3 linked regions of the Caenorhabditis elegans genome follow. The protein of the gene in region 3 purifies or fractionates together with the protein of the main gene of each other region. This does not show direct contact. Each region holds a gene or a part of one and is shown on either strand. Other genes may lie near its edges.

Region 1 (5,815 bases), on a different chromosome or scaffold from region 3:
ACTGGTAACCACAGAGCATTTTCGGCTCTCAGATGTCATGTCAGCAATTGAACTGGGAGAACCGAAAATGGACGTTGGAGTAGGATCAAAACACATTAAAACATTGAAAGAAGCGATTAGTGGGGTATTTTGTCAAATTTCATTATCGAAACTAAGTCAATAATTTCAGGGACTCTACGCCGACGATTATCCTTTTCAACTTGCAATTATGGATAGTACGTTAGCGATGGTTGTCGCTTGGCTCGAAGGAAGTGCACTTGGATCGACAGTCTGGACAAACGTGCTGCTTTCAAATGTGACTTTTGTTAAACATCCCGTTTTCCACCCATTCGCATCCGGCGTCAATCTTTTCATTCGAAATGCTCATGCACTTATCAACAGTGTTGGTAACCTAGAAGAGTTACCCGAAGATTTCAATCCACAAATGCTCTTCAGTCATCAGAGATGGGCTCCTCGCAGAGTCGTCGTTCAGCTTATGCGAGAACAGGTTACATTGCTCGGTACTACTGGAAGAAAGTGGAGAGAGTCAGCATTCAGTAAACAGGCGTACGATATTTGCTGTGCTGTTGCATCCCGTCTTGAAATGTTTATTATGCTTTTGGAAATTATTGGCTTATTGGTTGCACCAGAAATTGAAGATCCTAACTTCGATCACAAAGTTCATCTGGGGGATTTCTATGTTCACGAAAAAGAATATGAAGGAGCCGAAGAGAATTCTGACGAAAAATCAGAAGAATCCACGTCTGATCCAACGCCTTCAAGTGAAGCAAAATCGGAAACCACAGAGAAGAAAGAACAGAAAAGTAATGATGAAGCAACAGATGAAACTGATCAAAATGATGATGAAAATGTAGGCGACGACGAAGATGAAGATGATATGAAACAATTCAAGCCCAATTTTGGATTCGCCTCGATTTTGGCTGAAAGACTGTGCAAGGTCACAAAGGCTTATGCGGAAACAGTTAAATTAGGAAGAAGAGCACCCGACAATATTGATGGTGATGGTGACTACCTATGGCTTGGCGCATATGAACCAAAAACTTGTATACGAATGATCCCGGCATGCTTCCCTCGAAAAATCAAGGTTCCATCAAGACAAGAAGCTGCTGATTGGTGGGTGAAGTGTGCTGAAAGAATATATCACCTATGCATTGTCACTCCAAAAACTTCAAAAGATTTGAACTATTTGTTCTACTTTGCGAGAACTTTCGGTCAGAATGCATGCGTCTTCACCAGATCTCTTCTTCAAATTTGCATGTTCCCAGTCGACAACCATCTGTGTGGTGATGAGAATCGATCAATTGCTGACGCCGTTGAATACTCACTGAGCAACTGCTTCTGCCCACAAATTCTTGATAGAGTGTGAGTACTTCTCAACAAGAATACATCACGAACTTATCTCATTATTTCAGATCTCCTGTTTACAAAGATCAAACTGCTCAAAGTCTATATGTGTTATTTTTGAATCACATGTCAAAACTCGCAATCACCGTCTATGGTAGTTTTGGATGCAATTTATCCCGTCAAAGAGATCGTCTTGAGATGGCCATTGAAGATCTTGGTCAAATCCATTCATATGCTGGACGACTGGAAGAGCGAACTGATGAAGTATTGCTTAGCGGAAAAATGGTTACTGGTAAGATAATTTAAAATTAAAAAAATTATGTTAAAAATTATTCTAAATTCCCAGTAATTCCACAAATAAATCATTGCAGCAAAAGAGCAGAACTACTCATATCACTCAGTGGCTACATTTGTGTTTCACAATCTTCTTGCAATCATTAACCATTATTTCGAACTTGGATTTCGAATGGACCTTTACGTTCCTTACGAGTTCCCATACATTTACTGGTTTATTGGTTCAGTTCAAGCACATTGGATGAGAACAACTTTGGAACGGAGTCAAGAAATTCAGCTGAACGTTTATCAAGCAAGTTAGTGAAAACCATCAAATTGTTACAGTTAGGGTTCAAAAAATTTATTGAACAAAGACATGAAGCCGTTTTCTGTTATGCACTTTCCAGATCCACTGAGAGAGACTAAAAACAAAAAACTGTGGGAAGAGAGATGTAAACTTGGAGAAGAGTTGAAACGTCGTGTCGCTGCTCATCAATTCAGTGTTCTCAATCAAATCGCAATTTCAATGATTTCTGATGGAGTTGTGAGACTGACAGTTGTTCTGATTCGTAAAGGAATCATCAAGATGCCGAAGGGTGGAGATGATGCTGAAAAACTAAGATTCGAAAGACGATTCGAACCATTCGACTCACTTGGGCCTCCAGTTCGTGTGGATTACGAACGTTTTAAAAGTGATTCGGGGTAAGCGTTTACTGCGTTTTTAAAAAATGTCATTTTATGGGTATACAAATAATTATTCGCATTTCAGAATTGACCAAATGTATGAAGACAAGATTGAGACACTGATCGATCAAGCTCAGAAAAGTTTCAATGAAGCACGTGAACATCTCGAAAAAATCGATAACTCTGTGGAGCAAAATCGCGAAATGATGTTGGTTGATGCTGTTTGGTCGTTTAAAAATCTTCTTATTTCCAGGCAATTGATCCACGTGGCGAAATCGAACATTATTGCTTGCAGAGTTCTGAAACTTGATTTGACGGACAGAAATGTCGTTTGGTCGTTTTCAGAAGAGATTCCAATGTTTCCATGTCTAAAAATTAGCAAAAAGTGATGACAACTCTACTCTTGTTTGCCAATTATTGCTGCGATCTCTCCAACAGTCACAATCCATCAGTAGATTCAGAAATATTCAAGAATCATCTCAATAGAATGCCATAAGTCCCCCGTGTTTTTCTTTCATGTATTTTATATAATCAGCTAAATAATTATTCATATTTCGATTTTTGTTTTCATATTTTATTGATTGAGTAATTCAGACTAGTGAACCCCGCCTCCCCGTCTTCTTTCCTTTCATAGCACACGAATTTTCTCGGTTGGTACAGTACATTCACATTGTTCTCAGAGATATCGAAATACATTTCAAATCAAATTTTATGCTTCTATGAACTTGTTTGTTTTCAGTTTGCAAAATATCTTTGAATTATCGATTCTTTGGTTTCTGTATCCAAATTGATTATTACTTATTTTCTAACTTACTAGTTACTTACCATGTTTTCTTTCAACACGAATTTCCAGATGAGACGAGTTGTAGCAGCTGCAATCCGTACAGAAAGAGCCTTCTCGACACGATTTTCCGCGTCGCAGCAGGTAACCATTTACCAAAAATATAATTTAGAATTCTTTGTTTCCAGAAACCAGTTGCATCTACTTCATCATCGTCGTCTGTTCCGGATCGTGCAACTCTTGAAAAAGGAACAGTCCAGCCAACAGTGTTGAAGCCATTCGTTTCCGCGTCACTTCAACATGAAGATTTATTTAATTTTGAAAAAATGGTCCATATCGATGAGATGTTTAAAGCAAGACTTCACTACGGACATAAGGTAGTCTATTTAAAGAAAGGCGGTTCTAACTGTTAAAAAAAATGAATGAAATACGTTTAAAAGTCGATTTCCCAATTTTCTTTTCTTCGAAAATTGCACTGGAAAATTACGAAAAAAACTTCGGGATTTTTTCGCATTTTTTAAAATTTATTTTAAGCTTGAGAAGTTGAATTAACAACTAATATAATTTTTTTTAGGTCGGAACAGTAAACAACAATATGAAGTGGGCCCTGTACGGTGAACGTCTTGGAGTTTGCCTCTTCGACCTCGATATTACCAAAAAATATCTCGTCAGAGCTCTAAATTTCGTTGCTCATGTGTCATTGCGCGGTGGAATGATTCTTTTTGTCACTTCCAATCGAGACACCATGTTTGATGTTGAGAAGGCAGCAGATGAGGTGAGACAGTGTGCATGGTGGTGTAGGGGTGAGAACACCAATCTATTGGAAAATGATTCATGGTTCGAGTTTTCATAACAGCAGTGATGTGAACATACTTTGATCCGATAATTAATAATCTTGCGAGATTATTTGTTTCTGCGGAATTTGCGATCCTGAGCTGTTTTTTTTTATTCAGAAAATATTCACCATTGTTTTCTAGTTGTGAATGTTACTGTAAAAATGTATGTCTTTTAAACAGTAATCTTTAAAAATCAAGCAAAAAAATTTTACAAAAAAAAATTTGAAAAGGTGTTATTTTCCAGGTTGGGCAATACTCTCACGTTCGAAAGTGGCAATCAGGAACTCTAACGAACACTCGACAACTTCTCGGAGCTTCAGTTCGACTTCCAGATGCTGTCTGCTTCCTGTCAACCCTCACATCACTCGGCGAAAACCATCCAGCCATCGTTGAAGCCGCAAAAATGGCGATTCCCACAATTGGAGTAGTTGACTCGAATTCGGATCCGGCTTACTTGACATATTTGGTTCCTGCAAACGATGATACACCACAATCCACTGAATATTTGCTCAGAATGTTCAAGGAAGCCGTTCGAAAAGGACAAGAAGAACGAAAACGTCAGCAGCAAGGAAAATAAATTTTAATTTTTAGTATTTAGTTTCAAGATTTCAAAATTTTTGATTAGATCTTTTGTTTTCCTTGTTTTCTGATTGTTTCTTCATTTTCTAAATATCCAGTTGTTTACCTATTTAAAAAATCAAAATATTGCTTTCAAATCGTAATTTTGAATCACTACTGTAAACGAACAGTGTTAGAACATATCTTTCTTTTTTTTTGGTTTTTTAAAATTATTTATACACCTTATCCCTTTTCAGATGCTCTCCAGGCAGCTGCGTTTTTTAATTTCAAGTCGAGCATTCTCATCGGCTGTTCAGGATGTTTCCTCGACTTCATCTGGCGAATCCATCGATACACGAAGAGAATTATGGCGAAAACCAGAAAATCCATTCATCAAAACTCCACAAGCTTGGGTTTCAAATTTGGATACCATCGAAGATGAGAAGCTCGGACTCGTGGATCTCCATCCAGACATTTTCAGAACATCACCGCGTATCGATATTCTACACCGTAACCTCACGTGGCAAAGTGTATATCGAAATGTGCAAATGACGAAAATGTTGACAAAAGCTGAAATGCCCGGAGGGGGTAGAAAGCCGTGGCCTCAAAAGAAGACTGGACGGGCTCACGTTGGTTCTATTCGTTCCCCACAATTTATTCGAGGAGGTTTCGCAAATGGTGTTCGTGGACCGAGAACGTGGTTCTACATGCTTCCAGACGCAGTCAGAATTCAGGGACTTTGTGTTGCTCTCACTCTAAAGCACACACAAGACGATTTGCATATTGTTGACAAAATTCAAAACTTACAGAATGGAGACCCTAAATATTGGATTGATGTAAGTTATCTATAGAAAAATCATTTTCTGTTTTAATTTCAAAAATTCCAGCTTTGCGAAGCTCGAAACTACGGATACTCTGTTCTTTTCGTTGATGATTGTGATGAGATTAGCGGTGGACTTGCTGAAGCTCAACAAGCTCTTCCGTGGCTCAATGTGATGCCAGTGTATGGTCTGAATTGCTTCTCATTAATGAAATACGATACTATTGTTCTGTCACGAAGTGCATTGGAAAGAGTTGAAGAACGACTTCTCACACAAATGCATAGAGCTGGGCCGATGAATAAGAAATACAGGTTAATATTTGGAAAATTAACAATTAAAAAACGTCACTTGTGTAGCACAGGGCTGGGACCAAAAAAATAATTTTGGATCAAAAAACAAAACAATTTAAATTTGCGAAAAACCAAAAAAAATTGAATTACTTTTCAAAAAACGCTGATAATTGAAAAATGTTTCGGTTTTTTGGTTTCAAAACCAAAAAATCAATTTTTCGTCAAAAT
Region 2 (4,688 bases), on a different chromosome or scaffold from region 3:
AGCCAATTTCCTGAGACAGAAACTGTAAATAAATCGAAAAACCTTACAGAAGAAAGCTCGAGAATATTACGGAATTATGAATCAATTATCTGCTTTCAAAGGTTTTCACGCTTTCCGTTTAATTTGTTTTGTTCGAATCAGAAGATAACAAATCAAATATTTGGCAAAGCTGCTGTCAAAAGTATCCATAAAACAAAGACTAACAGTATTTTTTGAGCGGTATAAAAGGTTGAAAGATCAAATCGAGTTAAATTTAGATAAATGAAAGAAAAATTGACCAGCCAGCGATAATATTTTGTAACTAATTTTTCAGCTGTCTGGAAGTAGACTTTTTTTTGAATAGAAACAACAAAACAAGCAAAACGGTTGCTAGACGCAAATACATGCTCTACATATCTCTTTAGTTACCAATGTAAAAAAGTATAAATCTTCTGACAGCATAGATCAGCTTCAAAACCTGTGGTTTGCCACTTGTGGTTTGAAATCTTTTTAGGATGACAGTTTTGTTTAGAAAATATTAACTTTGACTTTTTCTAATTGCTTTTTTCTGGAGAATATTTTTTAATTTTTCCCCACGTTCCTGAAATGACTAAAAACAATAGCAAAAAATTTTTTAAGTTTGCGATTGTTTTATGTGCAGTCACGAAGTAGTGAAAATTCAGTTTGCTCTTTTATATAATTGTTTTTGAAGTCGTCCTACGGTTTACTAATTTTGTTTCGGAAAATTTGGCAACTTGCCACAATTTTGACTGAAGTTTTTGAAAAATCTAAAATGTATTCAAGTGTTTAATTATTCTACTACAAACGTTTTTGAAAGAATTATTAGAGGTTCTTGCCGATTATACTGTTTTAATGCGTACACATACTAATAATAGTCTATCTTGCATGTTTGCAATGTTTGATTTGACTATATCAAACATTAGAATACCGCATTTGATCCTTTAGTCTGGTATTTCCTTGCTTAACTTTGGCAGTTCTCCCGCCTGATTTTTTACGTATGAAAACATTATCAGCTGACAAAATAATTAGCTTTTTTTCTTGTACTGCAGTTTTAAAGTAAATCATATTTTGATATGCTTGTGTACAAAAACACATTGTGATTCTAGTAATACATTTTATTTGAGAAAAAATTCCAACGTTGATTTCAATTAATACATTGAAATAACTAATCCAACTTCTTCCACAAGTTATTCGTCGTTGGCAAAATCAGCTGGATTTTTGCGGTTTGCAGCAACATTTGTCTTCTTGGCCCAATCGTAGAGAAGATATGCACCAATAGTTTGTGGAATGTAGTAGTACCATTGATCCCAAACGTAGGTTTTGAAGGTTCTCACAAATGCCTGATCGAAGAATCCTTTATAAGCTTTTTGTTCGTTTGGAGCCAATGCAAATCTATGCTCTCCATACATTTTTCCCAAATTTCCAAAATGTTTTCCCATTGCAACGGCTGAAGGCCTCATTTTTATCTGAAATAATAAACAAATTAAGAAGTTAAAGTAAATTTCAATGGAAAAAGTATACAGCAGTTGCGACGAGCGCCTCAGTTGGTTGGTGTGCAAGGACGCTCCATTGAGAACACGCTGCGAGACCCGGCCGTATAAATGTGTGCACCTTGGAGGGTGCCTCTGTCGTTATACGTTAAGTTTCCTCATTTATTATCCAATTTTTAGATTTTTTTGCAAAGTGTGGTTTTTATTTCTTTACTTTTTAAATGCTATTTTAGAAATTGAATATTGTTCTTTCAGGAATGCCGTTTCCCAACCAAATTCACTTTTTAGTCGACGCGAGTATAAAAATGCATGCAATTATCGATTGTGATGCGACACCAATGGAGAATGCGTACATTTTTCTGCGTGAAATTTGCAAAAAAGGAGATCATCAGCCGACCTATATCGATAGAGTTCATATTGTGAGTTTTTGAAGCAATAGTTTATAAAGTTTACACTTTTTTCAGCACATTGGTGATAATTACATTGAACTGGAAGAAGGAAAAGCACTGAAGATGTTTGAGGATTCGAAAAGTATGATTTTTGAGCCATCAGATCAGAATGATTTTCTTTCGCTTTGGAAAACTGCGTTGGACGCCGATGAGGATGAAAATGCGTTATTTTTCATTGTATCCACTATTGTTAATGAAAAAGTAAGTTGTCACCACATTAAAGGTGGAGTAACGCCAGAGAGGAAATTGTGAAAAATCACTCTTTTGGTGTTGAAATAACTAAATATCATTTAAAAAAAATTTCGGCAGTGTTCGGAAAACTTCAAAAAAGCGATGAAAAGTAAGCTTTCACCAGTCTGTTTTGGAAGTTATCGATGAAAAATAATAATTTCCTTTTTTATGTTATTCATGTTGAAAATATTTATATTCCAACATTGTAGGGATTTGTGTTTCATTTCTCGAAGAGTGGCACAAGCTCGGTTGTCACCGCTTTTTGGCCAAAAATATTAATTTCCAAAATGTTTTGAAAAGTTTCAAAATTATATTCAGTCATTGTAACACCATAAAACTTTACCTTTAAATAAGAAATAAAAAAAAAACAATCATAAATTCAGATTCTCAAAATGTTCCACAAATACCACAAAAAGATGACGTTTCTCGATTTTTCTGGAATCAAACTAAATATTTCTGAACGACTCAAAAGCGATGTTCATCTGGTTGAACACGGAACTTCAAAAAAACTAGCTGCGACAATTCACAAGAAGATTACCGAGAACTACGTCACAACGGTCAATTTCGGGACTTCTTTTGGAGTAGAACTTGCACCTTGTACTGTGAGAAAAAATGTGCCCTACGAACTTACCAAAATTGACATTGTTGGCACATCAACATATCAGCCACTGGAAACGATTTCAGTTTTGACGAGAAGTTTCCTTCTTCCAATTGACAAGTGCTATGACAAAAAAGGTAACTACTGTAATATGCAAATGTTTTAATTATTTAACCTGTCCTATTTCCAGGTTCGAAAGTGAATAATGCAGTCGCATATTGTGTTTTGAAAGAGATCATTGGTGATAAGCCTGTAGCACTCCTGGAAAAAGAAGATGAAAACGATCGGAGTTCTGATACAAGCCTTGAAAAATCCAATGAAGATATCAAAAAGGAAATTGACGACATGAAGTCTGAAACAACTGCGCCAGTTGTTCCAGTGAAACCTCGAGCACCGAAAAAAAAATTTCCAAACCTTGTTCCCAACAATGAAAACGGCTACGAAGGAGACGGAGAGTCTGGTCCAATTACAGCCGAAAATGTCAAAAATGAAAAAACAAATTTGACTAAAGGAGGGAGAAAGCGAAGATTGCAAACCCTCGAACCTTCAAATGCAAAGAAAGGAAAAGACGCCAAAAATGGCGATCTACTTTCTGAAGTGAAAAACGACAAAGAAGCCGAAACCAAAGAGAATGAAGACGGAAAAGCCTCAGCAGATGGGACACCAGATCCATTGTTCCTAGTTGCATGTGCAACGGAGCGCTACACTGGGTTACGCAGACCAGTTATTCTTCGACTCCGCGAATTTGACAAAGATGACAAGACTTATTATGATGAAGAAACGCTTAAAGCAAAACTTGAAGAACATGCTGTTAAAAAACTGGAAGAAGAGAAGGACAAACTTCAATCCGCTGCCGCACCTGAAGATGACTCTCCAGCAAGTCCTCCGATGGATTGTCCAGCGTCTCCAGATATGGTTCCCGTTATCCCGCAAACTGTGAAAATCATTCCGACAGTTCCAACAATTCCACTCGAAACACAAGACGTCGATATGCGTGAACCATCAGCTCCCAAGGATGTTGATTACAGATCACAAGATGTTGATTTGCGTGTAGCAGTTCCTGTTGGTGATGTCGATCTTCGTGCTCAAGACAAGGTACAAGATTCTTTACCTGTGGAGGTAAAGAAAGAAAGCTGTATTGTCGACGATGCGGTTGTGCCGGAAGAACCACCAATGGAAGATTTGACAACGAATCAAGATCAGCCGGTTAAGTTAATTCCTTTGGAAGGTCAGACAGAGCTGAAAGCAGCAGAAATCAAGCAAGAAATGAGTGAAGAAACAGCCGCAGATGATAATCAGTCACAGGAGAATGTTTTTGATTATGGGAAATATATTCAGATCATTGTGGTAAGATTTTGAATACGATTTGGGACAGAAATTAAAGTTCGAGTAGCACCAATGGAAAAATTGTTAAAGCCAACTTCTATTGTGCTAAAGTGACCAAATATCATAATTAAAATTTTCAACACAATCTTTAAAATCTTTTATTAACACTCGAAAATGGCAATTACTGAGTTTTTTTTGTAACTTTTGGAAAATTATAGCACGGTAGCATGTTTAAGTCCTATGATGTGGGAATATTTGAAACATAAGTGGGCTATAAAGTTCAAAGGGAATTTTTTTGATCGACGGCTTCCGATAACGTAGCAAGCACTGAGTAATTGCCCCTTTTCAAAACAACAAAATTTCAAAAAAATTTTGAAAAAAAGTTTACTATGAGATTTGGTAATTTTAGCACCATAGGAGTGGTTTTTAACAATTTGTCCATTGGTGCAACTCGGCCATAAACTTAAACATTGAGCTTAAAAGTATAAATTTTAGCTCGATATGACTTGGGAAAAGTTTGAAAAGCAGATAGCTATAGTCAACGACGATGATATCTTTGAAGAGCTGACGGAGCGTGAAAAGACAGTTGTCGGC
Region 3 (5,945 bases):
GAACACACTTTCGGTAACTTATCTCTGTTGTTTTAATCTAAAATCGTGATATGAACATTCAAGATGATAGAAAACAATAAACTGCTTATTTTATACAAGATTTGATAAATCCAGAAAAAAACAAATTTTTGATCAAAAGTTCCAAAATTTCAGTTGAAGTCAAAATTTCAAACATCTGACAGATAACTGACCGAACCGCAAGTTGTTTATTACATTTTTAAAACTTATACATCAACCGGTATGGAACTAATTTTTTGGTTACGCGAAAAAAGTTAAGTACTCCAACAACAGTATCACTACAGTAACTCAACAGGATCCCTCCACTAACTCAATCTCAGTATCCAAAAAAACTGAAATTTACTAGAACTACTTGAGCACAAACTTCAATTGTGACCTATATATTTTTAGAAAATATTCATGCATTTGTTTATATCTAGCTTATACTATAAATATTGATTATTAATTCGTAGTAAAAATTACGCAACATAGTTAAAAATATAATCCCTGCCATTGTATTTAGTAAAAAATTTTTCCTAGTGAATATATTTCTAGCAATTAAAAAAAACTATAGTATATAATCTGAAAACTGTTATTTACACAATACCACTACAGTAACCTAACAGTACCCCTCCACGTAGTAAAAATATGTCCGTAGCAAAAGAGTAAAACGTAGTAAAACATCCACGTAGTAAAAGATAAGGTAGTAAAAAAGTGTTTTCCGTAGTAAAAGATCTATGTGATCAAATCGTAGTAAAAGAGAACACGTAGTGAAAGAGCCAATTGTAGTGAAAGATCTAAATGCGGAATTCGTAGTAAAAGAGATTCCGTAGTAAAAGAGATCTTGTAGTAAAAGAGATACGTAGTAAAAAATCAAGTAGTAAAACAGTATTTGCCCATTTTTTTTTGAAAAATAAGTGAGCGAAAATGATTGATATACTGACACACTCATGAATCTGCGAATTCAGATCAAAATATTGAGTTTTTTTGGAATAAAGTTGTAAACTTTACATATTTTTTTCATTGTCAGTTATTGATCTTCTAAAAAATCAACCTTCGATTTCAAACGATTTTCGTTTTTCAAAAAAATAACTTTGATTAAACTCACTTTGTTTGAATGCATCTTCAAGAAGTGGAATATCTTGAACTTTCTGCTCTGAATATAAAATTCCAAGCATTCGAAGTTGTTCGGTGAGTGATTCACGTGCCAACATCGACTGAACCACATTGGTACGATCTAGACAATCCATGCAATTCGTACGGAAAAATCCACGTTGGAATCGACTTGTTTCCATACTATTCGGGGACAAGTAAAAATATCCAAAACTCGAAATTTCTTGGCTTAACTGCTCCCGCAACAAATCAATTCGGTGCCATTGCATAGAATGACATTCTTTGTGAAAATCAAATTGATGGTAACGAACAAATTCGATATTTGCTTGTCGTGATATTCTCTCCAGTTCTCCTCCAACTTTTTTCTCTCTTCCTTTTTGATTTACAAGATTTACAATCACATGTTTACCACCATAGTGTTGCTTGTGCCACGAAAAAGCTCGATTGAAAGCAGCAAGCTGGTCATCTGTTGGTTTCAGTGTAGGCATCGGTTGCCAACGTAGATTTGGTTTTTGAGTCCAGAGAAGAGGAATAGAACCTCTCAATTGCACAAACGAAGTCAGGTGCTTGTCAGGATTCGTGTATTCAACGATTTGTTCTGTTTCAACAAAGTTTGCTGCATGACCATCTACGTCGACTCCACGTTTATAGAAACGGACGCCAGCACTGAAAAATTGAATTATACTAATAGTTTTTTTTTCAGAGAAAACTATGAAAAAACATGAAATTCGTACTAAAAAGGTTAATAATTATTTAAAACTAATATATCTTGGATTCAGACAAAACATTTTTGTGAAAAGCGAGCTCGTTGTTAGAAGTATTAATTTTTTGTCCAGAAAATCGAAATAAACGTTTTTTTAATTATTACAAATTTATTTAAAACATTTTTAAGTAAAAAAAATTACCGATAAATGCTTCTTCTGGATATGATAGTCAATTTAATCTCTTTTCCATTCACATTCACACGATTCTGGCCAATAAAACCATGAATAACGGGCAATGTGTATCTTTCTGCACCAGGGACCTGCCGGATCTGTGACAGTAGATGTCCATTCCATATGAAACGTTCGCTGGCTCTGTCCAACATACTTCTTGTTTTGAACAAAGGAACAGCGTTCTCCTGAAGCCATTGAAATGTGCGTGAGATGTCAAGAGTCGTCGAGTAGTAGAATCCGCCAATAGACAGCACATGAGTGAGCATATCAGTGAATAATCTATTATATCTAATTTGTTTCTCAGTCAAGTGAAGTGTTGTTTTCTTGTAAGGAATAATCTCGGCATCTTGAATAGTCCAGATGTTGTGATTATTAACTTGTCCGATCAAAGAAGCCTTTGTTATTACGATCAAAGCATATCCTGAGACTAGTTTAATTGTTCCCAAAATCCCATAAATAAACTTGATGTCCGTATCAGCAATTGGAACTCGCTGCTTGCGTGAATCTGTAATTATAAATTTATATTTAGATCAGACCAAAAGTCAGACTTACCAATAATTTTCATCACATTTGTGTGTCTATCGATTTCGAGATAATGTTTCGACGCAGCACCACCGCCGAGATCGGTTGGTTCTAAGAAGAATTTTTCTGGGTGTGAGTACAAGTTGAAACTCTCGTAGATGTCCATACTCAATAGACTATCCACCATTTTGGAGAGCTGAAAAGGGAATGAAGTTTGTTGTGGAAAAAAAATATGAAAAAGAAGAACGACGCATGAAAACAAAAAAATCAATAAGAGATACAACAATAGTGATAGAATACATGAAACATGTTTTCTTTGAATGCGAAAACGTGGAAACGGGTGACGACACTCCGTCTTTCATATGGGAGCGTTGTTTACCGTAAATCTACACAGACATTATTTTAAATTAATTGTATTTTTATTCTTTATATTTTTATACTTTGTGAACGTTTCGTTTCTTAAAAATTGAAGAATAGTGGTGTTTATATTAAAATCTCTCAGTCCTGATGTAAATGTGCATATTTTTAATCTATCTCTCCCACTCGGCCACCACCATGACGAAATACTTTTCTGCCATCCTCCTCCCACTAATACATTATTTAAACTGCTGAATCTTTCGAAATTGCATTGCATCATTAAAAATGATTTTACAGAAAATGGCGCTAACTAATCGACTTTTAATGAATTCGTCAGCTCTTCTAAGGTAGGCCGATAAATTAAATTATTGTGAGGGGGGCAATTATATTATTTAGAAGTTCAACGCTCCCATTAGCTGTGACATCATCACGACAGGCCCATGCTGCACATAATACTGTCATCAATTTTGTTCCACAGCAAGAAGCGTGGGTTGTAGAAAGAATGGGAAAGTTCTACAAGATTCTTGAACCGGTAACATTTCCTAAAAGGTAATTAATAAACCAACTTTTTCAGGGACTCAACTTCTTATTGCCTATCATTGATAAAATCAAATTCGTTCAAAATCTTCGTGAAATTGCAATTGAGATTCCTGAGCAAGGAGCCATTACAATTGACAATGTACAACTCAGGCTCGACGGAGTTCTTTATTTGCGTGTTTTCGATCCCTACAAGGCATGTGACGCCTGTTTTTTGATTCGCCTGTAATTGAAAAATAACACTTCTTTGTAAATTGCAGGCATCGTACGGAGTCGATGACCCAGAATTCGCAGTAACTCAATTAGCGCAGACAACGATGAGAAGTGAAGTTGGAAAAATCAATTTGGATACAGTATTCAAGGAGAGGGAATTGCTCAATGAAAATATTGTATTTGCAATCAACAAAGCATCAGCACCTTGGGGAATTCAATGTATGCGATACGAAATCAGAGATATGCAGATGCCATCAAAAATTCAAGAAGCTATGCAAATGCAAGTTGAAGCTGAGAGAAAGAAAAGAGCCGCGATTTTGGAATCAGAAGGAATCAGAGAAGCTGCCATTAATAGGTATAATATTTTTCCAATTACACATTTCATTCAGTAACATCGTGAGAGTTGTAAAAATATTCTAAATTTAAACATTTCCAGGGCCGAAGGAGACAAGAAATCAGCTATTTTGGCGTCTGAGGCTGTTCAAGCCGAACGTATCAATGTAGCAAAGGGAGAAGCAGAAGCAGTAATCCTTAAAGCCGAATCTCGTGCCAAAGCTATTGAACGTATTGCATTGGCTCTTGAGAAAGATGGAGGTGCAAATGCTGCTGGATTGACCGTTGCAGAGCAATATGTTGGAGCTTTTGGAAATCTTGCCAAGGAATCAAATACTGTTGTTCTTCCGGCAAATCTCAGTGATCCAGGAAGTATGGTTTCTCAAGCACTTGCTGTTTACGACTCATTGAGCAATAAGAAAAAGTGAAAATGTTTTGTTTGAGTTTATGTGCAAGCGTAGTTTCCGTTTCTCCATTTTCATATTTCCCTGTTTCTAAATTTTGGTTTACTGGTATTTGAATGTAATTTTACATCATCTTTTCAAAAATCTCTTGATTGTTCGTTATTCTAAATTTTCAGCAGATGAATTAGTTGAATTTTCATTTGAATTCAATTTAAAATGCAGATAACATGATTTTCAGAGGAAAACTGTTTAGTGAAAAATTTGAAAATAATAAACAAAATTTTCTTTAAAAAACTTGATCAACATTGAAAACTATTCTTGTAATAAGTTCCATTAGCTTTCAACAACATCTCACGAAACTGTGGAAAGTAGGAAAGCCATTGAGAATCTGGATTATTTCCTGTTTTATTGGTTTTTATCATTTCACGAACGCAAATTATCGTTCCAAAATCGAAGTTGGCGGTCACTTTGTTTGCTGAAAAATCAATTTATTTATAAACATGAATGTTCAAAAATCACCAATAACCATCGGACTTTTTGAAAGTTCTTGTAGAAATTCGACTCCAATTACACATATTGAATGCCTTAACCACTTGGATTTACAATCTTGATATAGTCCGTCGGATTGTTCAAGATGCCAATGAGTTTGACTGTAATTTTCAGTTTTCTATTTGCAATGTAAGCCTGCCTTCAAGGTGACCTACACGAGCCTGATTCTGCACTTGGTACACTTGGAAATTATTATCATTAGAATTTTCAAGAGAGTCAAATAAAGAGCAAAAAAATAGGTGACATGCAGACATGAGGTAGGCAGGCACAAACAAATGAAGGCATGCCTATCCTATACAAACCGTGTTAATATATCTTCCTTTGCCACGGTACAATTAGATTCCATTTGCCCATCTAATCCCAAATAGTTTTCAAAAAGTGTCATAACCATCATTTCGTCAACCCCAAAAAGCTGAAATTGAATATTATTCTCGTTTTCAAGAGTAGAACATTACCGTTCTATCATCAAATCTTTTGATTACATTTTGCAGATTCACTTTATCAAATAAAGACTTGACAAATACCTTCGAAAGGATTACTTCGTTTAAACTTTTTCGAATTTTTAGTTTTTTGTGGAGTATTTCCAGAGGTACACTTTGTTCTGAAAATAAAATTATGTTACTCTGTCATGTAATTTTTCGATATAAGAATGCGGCACCTCGTCTCAAAGGCCTCCAAGCAAGGAGTACTGTAGCATCTCAAGTCTACAGGACCTTAAAGACGCAAACCTGTTCGTGCTGTTCGATTAGAAAATATTTTGTACTTTTTGTGAGACTGGTTTAATTAAAGACGTTTTGCACTATAAATCCTAAAATTTAAGTAATGTGCAAAAAGAAAAAAAGCATAAAAGTCTAGGCGGCATCAGCCTTTGGAATGGTTTTTTAAAATTTATTTTTTTATTTTTAAGAAATAATTCAGTCGGCTCAAAGAAGTTTTGGTACTTTTAGGAAATGTTTTCTCATCTCTATTTTGTACTATTCTCTAT

The links.
Region 1: the proteins of stl-1 (region 3) and mrps-2 fractionate together in Caenorhabditis elegans (co-fractionation; one large-scale study listed by BioGRID). This does not show direct contact.
Region 2: the proteins of stl-1 (region 3) and R07E4.3 fractionate together in Caenorhabditis elegans (co-fractionation; one large-scale study listed by BioGRID). This does not show direct contact.

Annotation. Positions count from the first base shown.
Region 1 is NC_003283.11:8,462,532-8,468,346, forward strand, and holds mrps-2 (Small ribosomal subunit protein uS2m), read left to right. Parts: upstream 1-3,154; coding exon 3,155-3,226; intron 3,227-3,270; coding exon 3,271-3,459; intron 3,460-3,656; coding exon 3,657-3,857; intron 3,858-3,936; exon of another isoform or gene 3,937-4,025; intron 4,026-4,162; coding exon 4,163-4,495; 3' UTR 4,496-4,628; downstream 4,629-5,815. Other genes in the region: natc-1 (Protein MAK10 homolog), read left to right, coding at 1-124, 170-1,362, 1,413-1,636, 1,716-1,934, 2,025-2,319, 2,387-2,509, 2,555-2,690; mrpl-4 (Large ribosomal subunit protein uL4m), read left to right, coding at 4,734-5,312, 5,364-5,608.
Region 2 is NC_003284.9:5,950,230-5,954,917, reverse strand, and holds R07E4.3 (Cytochrome b-c1 complex subunit 8), read right to left. Parts: upstream 1,461-4,688; coding exon 1,188-1,460; downstream 1-1,187. Other genes in the region: R07E4.5 (VWFA domain-containing protein), read left to right, coding at 1,748-1,909, 1,955-2,140, 2,554-2,905, 2,959-4,115, 4,590-4,688.
Region 3 is NC_003279.8:9,485,306-9,491,250, reverse strand, and holds stl-1 (Stomatin-like protein stl-1), read left to right. Parts: upstream 1-3,221; 5' UTR 3,222-3,224; coding exon 3,225-3,271; intron 3,272-3,320; coding exon 3,321-3,456; intron 3,457-3,498; coding exon 3,499-3,657; coding exon of another isoform or gene 3,658-3,661; intron 3,662-3,721; coding exon 3,722-4,029; intron 4,030-4,110; coding exon 4,111-4,435; 3' UTR 4,436-4,606; downstream 4,607-5,945. Other genes in the region: sacm-1L (Phosphatidylinositol-3-phosphatase SAC1), read right to left, coding at 1,106-1,776, 2,016-2,550, 2,598-2,754; gly-21 (GLYcosylation related), read right to left, coding at 4,711-4,886, 4,931-5,061, 5,263-5,372, 5,416-5,561. UniProt on the Caenorhabditis elegans protein: Mitochondrial protein that probably regulates the biogenesis and the activity of mitochondria.